2 linked regions of the Nothobranchius furzeri genome follow. The main gene of each other region encodes a partner of the protein of the gene in region 2 in a complex. Links are inferred from orthologs where the notes say so. Each region holds a gene or a part of one and is shown on either strand. Other genes may lie near its edges. The genes, in order: lats1 and wwc1.

What was found.
Region 1: the proteins of wwc1 (region 2) and lats1 are in contact, whole or in part, in a crystal structure (PDB 6J68), measured with the Mus musculus proteins. The link is inferred for Nothobranchius furzeri from reciprocal best matches to the Homo sapiens genes WWC1 and LATS1. Residues at the interface, in NP_740749.1 of Mus musculus: Asp17, Tyr23, Ile25, Asp26, His27, Arg30, Thr31, Thr32, Ser33, Trp34, Asp64, Val67, Tyr70, Ile72, Asp73, His74, Lys77, Thr78, Thr79, Gln80, Ile81; in NP_034820.1 of Mus musculus: Ala546, Glu547, Ala548, Pro549, Ser550, Tyr551, Gly553, Pro554, Pro555, Pro556, Pro557, Tyr558, Leu562, Leu563.

What each region holds. Positions count from the first base shown.
Region 1 is NC_091742.1:11,406,726-11,411,198, forward strand, and holds the end of lats1 (serine/threonine-protein kinase LATS1), read right to left. Parts: coding exon 3,232-4,473; intron 2,748-3,231; coding exon 2,165-2,747; intron 1,756-2,164; coding exon 1,573-1,755; intron 1,376-1,572; coding exon 1,269-1,375; intron 1,193-1,268; coding exon 698-1,192; 3' UTR 548-697; downstream 1-547. UniProt on the Homo sapiens protein: Negative regulator of YAP1 in the Hippo signaling pathway that plays a pivotal role in organ size control and tumor suppression by restricting proliferation and promoting apoptosis.
Region 2 is NC_091750.1:71,292,878-71,297,311, reverse strand, and holds the start of wwc1 (protein KIBRA), read right to left. Parts: upstream 3,007-4,434; 5' UTR 2,785-3,006; coding exon 2,666-2,784; intron 1-2,665. UniProt on the Homo sapiens protein: Regulator of the Hippo signaling pathway, also known as the Salvador-Warts-Hippo (SWH) pathway.

The sequences.
Region 1 (4,473 bases), on a different chromosome or scaffold from region 2:
ATTACACTTTAAGCTTGGTTCTGTGGAGTAGCTGTGAACTTATGTCTGAACAGAGGCTGTTCATGAAGCTTTTACACAGAAACATGTTTATAATCGGCCATATCATCCCTTTCAGTAGATCTGTCTAGCAGGTAGATGGAGAAAAATCATGGTTTCCAGTGAGAAATCAGGAATATTAGATGTTTATTTACTAGCGGTTTTCCTGATTAGAGTCTGAAAATCCATAATCTGTGGTTCCACCTTCTCAAATGTGACACTTTGATATTTCCTTATACATGTTAACCCCCCCCCCCCCCCCCAAAAAAAAAACCAGATTTGGTGCGTTTCAGGTTTCTCTCGTCATTTCTTATAATCATCTTTCACAAGTCAGCAGATTTCAGTCTTCATGCTCTGCAGAGATAACTGACTCCAGGTCAGTTTCATAGTTGGAGATCAGGTGTTTCATTTTTAACTGTGATCTCGTGCTGCAGCGTTCTGAGTGCTCCTATAACCACACACTCCTATGTTTTAAATGCTTTATCATTGCAAACCCCTCCTCTCTCTCTCACTCTCACTCTCACGCACGCACACACACACACACACACACACACACACACACACACACACACACACACACACACACACACACACACACACACACACACACACACACACACACACACTTTCTATGTACAAGCAGCTTAGTGGGTTTCAGGATCTACACGTAGACCAGATCCCGGCCTTGTTTCCCGGCCTCGAGCTCCGCGCTCTCCATGTCCGCCTCGTCCTCGTCATAGCCCTCGTACTCGATGGGTTTGGGGCAGCTGTAAGGGTGGCCGTTGTCGTCAAAGAAGCGCCGGAAGGTAAACTCGTAGAAGGCGTGCTCGGGGTGCTTTCCTTTGCGGAACCAACAGCTCAGCGTGTCGTTGTGGTTGCCCTCGCCATTGCTGCTCCGCAGCTTTTCAGGGTCCACTGGGTCAAAGTTGGAGGTGTCTGTGGAATGAGCGATGGTGGGGACGTAGGGTGCCACCTGCTGTCTCAGGTCGCTGGAGAAGTCGATTCTTTTGAAGAATGGATGAGCTTTGATTTCATCTGCGCCGTTCTTACCAAGGCGATCCTCTGGGTCGCGGCAGAGTTTAACGATGAGATCCGACGCCTCTGGGGTGAGCTTGGCTTGAGGGGGGATGTGCAGCGTGCTCTTCCAGTTTATCACCTGGTTTCAACGAAAGAGACGCGGCTTTAAGGAACTCCGTGGCTGCAGAACATTTCACAGCAGGTGCCTCTCATACCTTCAGCTGCGTCTCCAGGGGTGTGCTCGCCAAGAAGGGAGGTTGTCCAACAACCATCTCGTACAGGATGACCCCAACGCTCCACCAATCACAGAGCTGAGTGTATCCTACAGTTATACAGGAAATGACATCACTAAAAGACGTTTGGAATTGATTTTCTTTTTCATCAAGATGTCAATATTTAGTTTCTCAGCTTTTATTTTGAAAAACAGAATAAAGCTGTTATTTACCATGATGTGGATTATTAGAGCAAAGATTTGAAGCAAAAATAACATAACTGAACATTTTTAAAGGAAAACTTTACCTGTTCGGAGCAGAACTTCTGGTGCGATGTAGTTGGGCGTTCCCACCAGTGAGTGGGCCAAACAGCGCTGGTGCTGCCGGGCCTTCCTCCTCTCCAGAGGCTTCAGACGCTCTGAACAGCGGCAGTTAGCTTGATCCTCCCACTCCTTACTGAAGTCCATGCTGTCCTGTCTCTCATGATCTCCTGCAGAGATAAACAGACACATAATTTAAGACTTAGACATCTTTATTTGATAATTCCTTGTTGCTAAATGATGCAATACTGATTTAAAATGTGCTTTTGTTGATGTAATTTGGATTTATATTATTGCGCTGTACATTGATAAACAGAAATGTTGAATTGCACGAATCCAAAACATGTCAACAGCCTCCCGGCTTCTACTTTTTAGGCTCAACCTGACCTGAGAGACACAAACGGCAAGATATCTGAAAACAAAAAGGAAGATTTTCTATTGTAAAATCTTTTTTCATCTGTTTGTATGTGAATTTGACAGGATAAATGTTAACATTACCATTGTTTTACAGTTTTCATTCTAAAAGCTTGACGTAGCGACAGAAAAACACCTAACAAGACACTGAGCTTTAGCACCCACCGCTCTGGTAATACTTGGAGTCGTGGGTCCAGCGGAAGCCTGTGCACAGACCAAAGTCGGTCAGCTTTATGTGTCCGTCTCTGTCTATCAGAATGTTGTCCGGCTTGATGTCTCTGTGGATGAAGCCCATCTTGTGGACACTCTCCACCGCACAAGTGAGCTCTGCGATGTAGAACTGGGCCAGCTCTTCTTTAAAGATGCCGAGCCGGATGAGGAGGCTCATCATGTCCCCCCCGGGGATATACTCCATGACAAAATACAAGTTCTCCTTGTCTTGGAAGGAGTAGTAGAGACGCACCACCCACTCGTTGTCGGCCTCGGCCAGGATGTCCCGCTCGGCTTTGACGTGGGCCACCTGGTTCCTCAGCAGCACGTCCTTTTTGCGAAGCGTCTTCATGGCGTACAGCGACCCCGTGTCCTCTTTTCTCGCCAAGCACACCTCGCCGAATGCTCCGATGCCGAGGGTTTTGATCCGCTTGAACATGGACTTATCCATTTTGGCGCGCATTTGACGGATGTAGTTGGACTCCTTCTGGTAGAGCATCATACGCATCTGCTTCTGGGCTTCGTACGACAAACCCACCTGAGGATGGGGACCATAAAAATAAATAAATGCAGCTTTCATGCAATCCATGTTAAAATGAGACGTTAGTAATGAATGGAAACGAGTGACACCACCACAAAACGAAGTGAAATCTATCTTTCCTGAAGTGTTAATGATCAATTTACCCCAAAACAAAAATGTGCGTGCAGTGCACGGAGGCGGCTGCGGGATGGCATGCCACTCTTCTCATGCTTTCACTCGATGCAGGAGAAAATACAGATATGAGACACTTGACACCTTACTTGTGTAACTGATGTGTGTTTGGGCTTTTCTGAGTCACAGCACAGGAAAAGATACTTTAACCTCCTAGGTCAGCTGCTTGTGACAGCAAGGAGAGAAAGGAAGAGAAAGAACAGCTAAGAAAAACTTAAAAGTGTGGAAAAGATCGGAGATTTACCAAGATAAGACGGGGAAACCAGGTCAAAAAGAGAAAAGGACAGTTTCTTTTCATAGATGGTCTCACCCTGTCCATTTCACACTCCAGCTGCTTCCTCCTCCGAATCCTCTGCTGATGGTTCTTCAGGATGTTCTCCATGTGTTGCTCCATAAAGAACTTGAAGGCTTGGGGGGAATACAGATTGACTCTCCCAGACTCCCCTCTGCGCTCCTCATCTTTCTTGTTGTTACGGCGAACAGGAACAGGTGATGTTGTGATTTGTTTCCTCTCCTTCTCCGCTGCCGTGGTGCTTTCAAGACTTTCTGACACCTTCTCCCTGGAGGCGTCTCCACTGCTGCCGCTGCTGCAGCTCCTCTCCTCCTCAGGACTCTCCTCTCTACCCGCAACAAGCTTATTGGCTGCAGCGTCGTACGCAGGGGGCGAGGGTGCAGCCGGCTGCTGTAGGAGGTGTTTAGGGTACGGTGGAGGAGGGCCTATATAGTTTGGTGCCTCTAGTGCTGTGGGGATCTGAGGGACCTGAGGTGAAGGTTCTGGGTAAGCAGGCGCAGCTGGAGATGCTGAAAGGTGCTGCTTCCATGGAGGATGTGTGGGAGCGACGGCAGTGTGTAGCTCTGGTTTCTGGACTTGCGTGCTCGACACCGGCTGCAGGATGGGAGCCTGAGTGATGGCCGTGACCGTAGTGGCAGAGGGCTGGGAGCTGGCTTGATGAGCAGGTCTGCCGTTGAGCTGGTGGTTGTTAAATGAGTTTGAGCGGACTGGCACGTTCTGCTGCCATGACGGGGACAGGTCCTGGTTGCTGTTGCTCCAGTTAGACACCAGCATGGGAGGAGGGATGTTTCCACCGTTGACGTACGAAGGAGAGGATGCCGGCTGCTCGGTGGGACTGTGTCGGCTGCTCTGGTTGACTGGGTATGGAGGAGGGGGTTGTCTACTGCTCCCTGGTATGTAGTCCTGTTGAGCGGAGCCATTCTGAGTCCGAGTGGAAGGAGAAGTGAATTTATTCCCTGAACTTTGCATTATGATAGGCTGGTGAACTACGGGCCCTGGGTTGGCCCCGCGTTGATTCTGAGGAGGTGGATTTGGGTACCCATCAGGCCGAGCTCCTTGGGGAACTGGAGAGATTCGTGGAACAAAGTACTCCACATTCCCAGACCAGCGCTTGGTTGATGGGTTGTTGTCCCAGGGAGAATTAGAAGCCGCGACACCGCGGAGTGGTGGGTAGACAGGAGGTGGCCCGGGGCTGTCGGGGCGGTACACCATCCCATCTGCCATGTGAGGACCGAGGCGGGGAGCGAGGGCCTCCTTAGA
Region 2 (4,434 bases):
TTTACCTATAAAACAATAAGTTACACACATGTAATATTTATAAATTTGATACTATTCAGGTCACCTTCAACACTCAGTCACACACCCAGGGCCGTTTCAAGACATTTTGGGGGCCAAGGCAAAATGACCCCCCCCCCCCCCCCCACTGGGCTCCCCAGAAGCCTCTGTGTAATTCATACCCTCTCCAGTAGTTAGTTATACAGTGTTTATAAAAGCCCCTCAGACATTACTGACATGTTCTAATATTATCAGATGAAAAACTAAATTATCAGACATGCTGTCTCATCTGCTTCTTTTCTAAACTTGCAGAAAGTAACAAAACCATTTGAAAGCCACTATTTGTGGATTCTCTGAAAGTTTCCATGGAGTGTGGGACAACTTCTTTTTTCAGTCATTTTTGGAAATAGTGATCAATTTTGATTAATTCACAGCCTATGTTTAATTACATTTAAAAATTAGTTGTTTGACATCCCCAGTTATAATAAATGTCTACAGATGAGATCAAACAAAACAGATGAGAATTGCCCTTAAGCTGTTTAATTGGACCAAGCATTTTAGGTCACAGATAGATGTAGCTTAGGGTCTCTGTCTATACACCTTATAAGACAATTTAGGTGATGGCATGTTGTTTTTCTGCTATTGAACTGTTTTCTAATAATGTTGTGTTAAATAAAGTGAAGGAAGGAGAGAAATAACGTTTCCCTAGCAGTTTTTAAAAATTTCCCCATGTAATCCGATTAATCGATTAATCGTGTCGAGACCCCATCCGATTAATCGATTATCCAAATAATCGTTTGTTGCAGCCCTAGTGACTTGCTCTTTAAATTTTGAGACAGAGTTCTATTAATAGAACACAAAAATATGAAGTCGCTGAGAAAACATGAAACTGTAACATGATGGGTGGATTTTTGTATCAGGAAGTTTTATTTATTTTAAACTTTTTGTCTTCCGGAGAACTTCTTCTGGAATTCTGCAGACAAACGAAACACACGAGTCGTTGGAGGAGGTGACTCGCAGTTTCATCAAATTAAATACTACTATCTGTGACTCAAAGTACAATGAAACCCAGAAAAGAAAAGAGAATAAACAGTTTCTGGCTGCATGTTGACGACGCACTAATCCACTCACACACAAAGGCGGAATAAATAAGCCACAGAGAAAAATATGTGCTCAAGAATTCCAGACGTGAAGCATTAAATGGATTAGGTGTCAAAGTCCGGAGAGTCTTGCGTAACTGGTAAAGATGGAAAGATGAAAATCCGCCCCATCTTTCCCACATGATATCATGAGGAAGTTCTTCTTATCATAGGAATTTTAAGCCGATCACACCGAAGGAATTTTAAAAAGAGCAACACAAGTACATCACTCCTCTGCTCATGCTGGGATGGATGCATGGAGATCACAACCAAAATCCGACCTCAGCATGGAAAACCTGCACAAACGAAAGGTAAAGAAGAGCCCGGCCTTTGAGCCGTAGCTGAAACGGATGGATGGTTAGGATTAGCGCTAACGTTTCAGCTCACAGCCTCAAACTCTCTAATCTGTGTTTTTAACAGATTCAACTACAGAAATGGGAACCTACTGAATCCGACTACAGGCAGATCCAACTTTAAACCAATTCAATGTTCGATCATCTGTTGGGCATCAAGACACCAGGCTCATCCCTTGAGCTATGGGGCCCGTTTGCTGGCCAACTGAATGAAACAGCACGTAACTGTTTAAAGAACAGCAAAAAACCTTTGGAAAGTCTGGGGGGAAGTAAACAATTAGAGTAGAAACATGAATAAGTACGAGTAATTTACGACACCATGTGCTGTTAAATAAGTTTATTTATCTTTTGTGTGTTTGTTTATTAAGGGGATAGTTTAGATCTTAGTATGTTTATGTGGTGAGGTTATTAACTCATTCACTGCCAGCATTTTTACTGCCTTTTTTGAAGTCACAGAACATTGCACTCTTTGATGATAATGTCGACGCCAAAACTACCAAGACAAAGGGTACACTCACCTCTTACATCAGGAAGCATCAGTGCGTTTCGAGCTTTATCCATTCCTTCATAATCCGTTGTTGAATTGCGATCGGCAGAAGCTTTTCCAGTTCGTGCCTCACTTTGTTTTTTACAGCAGCGGCCCAACACGATCTCCTAAAACATGGATTTTCTGCTTCCTGATCACGTGACGTGTGACGTACGCGGATTAAGATCGGCTTTAGAGCTGAGATGTTTGTTCTCACGATGCGGGGGCTCGTTCCCAATTTCAAAGGTTTTAGACATTTAAACGAGTGCTATTTTTTAACCTGTAAACTGACTCCATGGTGAGAATTATTATGAAACGCCAGCCAGGAATAATGTACGCTGCAGCCAACTTCTGCTGTAAATAACAATGTCATGTGAAGTTCAAGGAAGGGTCAAAACGTTACACATGGCAACGAAATATCTGGAAACACTTGGCAACTGGCCTCCACTTAAACTAGCCGTTAGCTCATCAATCTAGACAAAACTAATCTACATTTCTCCAAACTAAGGTTGCTCACATGGCTATCAGGTATACGGATTTGTTCATAACATTTCTCCATAAAGGCTTTGTTAAACAGCTGAGCTGTCTCTTTAACGCCTGACACCTGTCAGGGGTCAAAGGTCGATACACCTGTCTCTCACATTCCTTACCTGTCCCGGGGGTCGATCCAGCTCGTGCAGTGGTTAATGTGATCAATGTAGTAAACTTTGCCATCAAAGTCTCTGGCTTCCTCCCAACCGTCCGGTAGTGGCAACTCCTTCCTCGGCATGTCAGGCGAGTCTCCATGTACCTATCTCCTCTCTACGTGGAAACACAACGAAGGGAGACCATCGCTCTTCTCTGTCATCATCAGCAGCGGAATCAGCAGTTATTTCCACCTAACGCTGTGCGGGCTGGATTAGGCCATCGTAATAATCCGAAACAGTCCACAGATTAATACCGAGGCAGCCCCGAAGCAGGCAGGGGAAATTGGAGCCGCTTCAGGGGGATGGAGAACTTCCAGGAGGCTGCAGTTCATCAGCATCCGAGCTAGAAACACAAAAACGGGGAAGACAACCCCTCAACACTGTCCGCTGTGCCTCTCATGGTGCTCCAAAACTTTCCAGGTCGTTTAAAGAAACTTGTAGGGGTCCTGGTGACAACTTTTAGGTTAACAAGAATTAGCCACGGTCCACAGAACACGGACACCGCTGCTCGGTTTTAACGGAAACAAACCGCAGTTTTATCCCCAAACACGAACAAGAGATAGGCGCCAGGACCGGAGCATCGCCGTTTCACAACAGGAACGGTTCCGAACGGCCCAGAAATTCCTCCAAAACTCCCGACGGAGCTCGTCTCCTCCGCTTTACCTCCAGCAGGCCACCATGTTCAGCAGCAGTAACCGATTTTAGCCGCCAGCCGCGGGATAGCGAACCCCCCGAGCCGCTCTTCTGTCCACAAACAGTAACGAGGTCACCCAAAGCGTTTCAAATCCCGTCAAACCAAAACAAACTCCGGAGAATCCCGTTAAAGTCCCGGTTCGAAGCGGACAGGAAGGAAGGTGCACGGCGGCAAAGTCGTTTCTTCAGACCCGATCACTTCGGTCAGCCGCCGTGTGCGTCAAGCAGCCTGCGTGCGCATCCACTCACTTCCACTTCCTGTTTCAAAATAAAACCAATGTTGACAAATCCAGTCTGAAACAATACAACTTCCGGTCCGAAATGTTTATGCAAGAGTTTCATGAAATGGACATAGAAATATAAAATAACTCAAAACACTGAATATTTAAAATAGGTTAAATCTCACATATCTGACAACAACATACTACAAAACATAGCATATGACATGAAAAAAATATACAAAATTGATTTTAAATGATCACAAACCTCCCATAATTAGCCCAGTAAAAAAAAAACCCCAGAAAGAACTAAATTAGAGATACGATTTTGTATTAAATAAATTAATTAATTTGATCACAGCTCAATTTGAGTTTGTACATCACCATTTCAATTGATTGCATACATACATATCAAAAATAAATATCTGCATAATCACTGGGCCAATTAAAACAATATGATAAAGTTGCAAAATCACAACAAAAGTTGGGCAAAAGTGAGGTGCACACCCACAGGAGGAGATCTGAAATAAACACTAAACAGATAACCAATGACGTGTTACAGCTTTGGGACATGTTGATAGATAAATGCGTAAATTGGAAAAAAGGTCAGACTAAATGTTTGACAGATTTTGTGTTTCTTTTTTCAAAGTTGCAGATGTAAAATGCAGTCTTGAACACTTTTCTGGATGGTCGGCTTGTTTTCCAAAGGATGATTTGCAGAACTTCCGCTTCTCCTGGTTGGCACAACCTTTTAAGAACCATGTCGCCCTCTAGTGGAAGGCTTTAGAATGGTCAGGCTTCAAAGGTTCTGAAGAAAGTTCG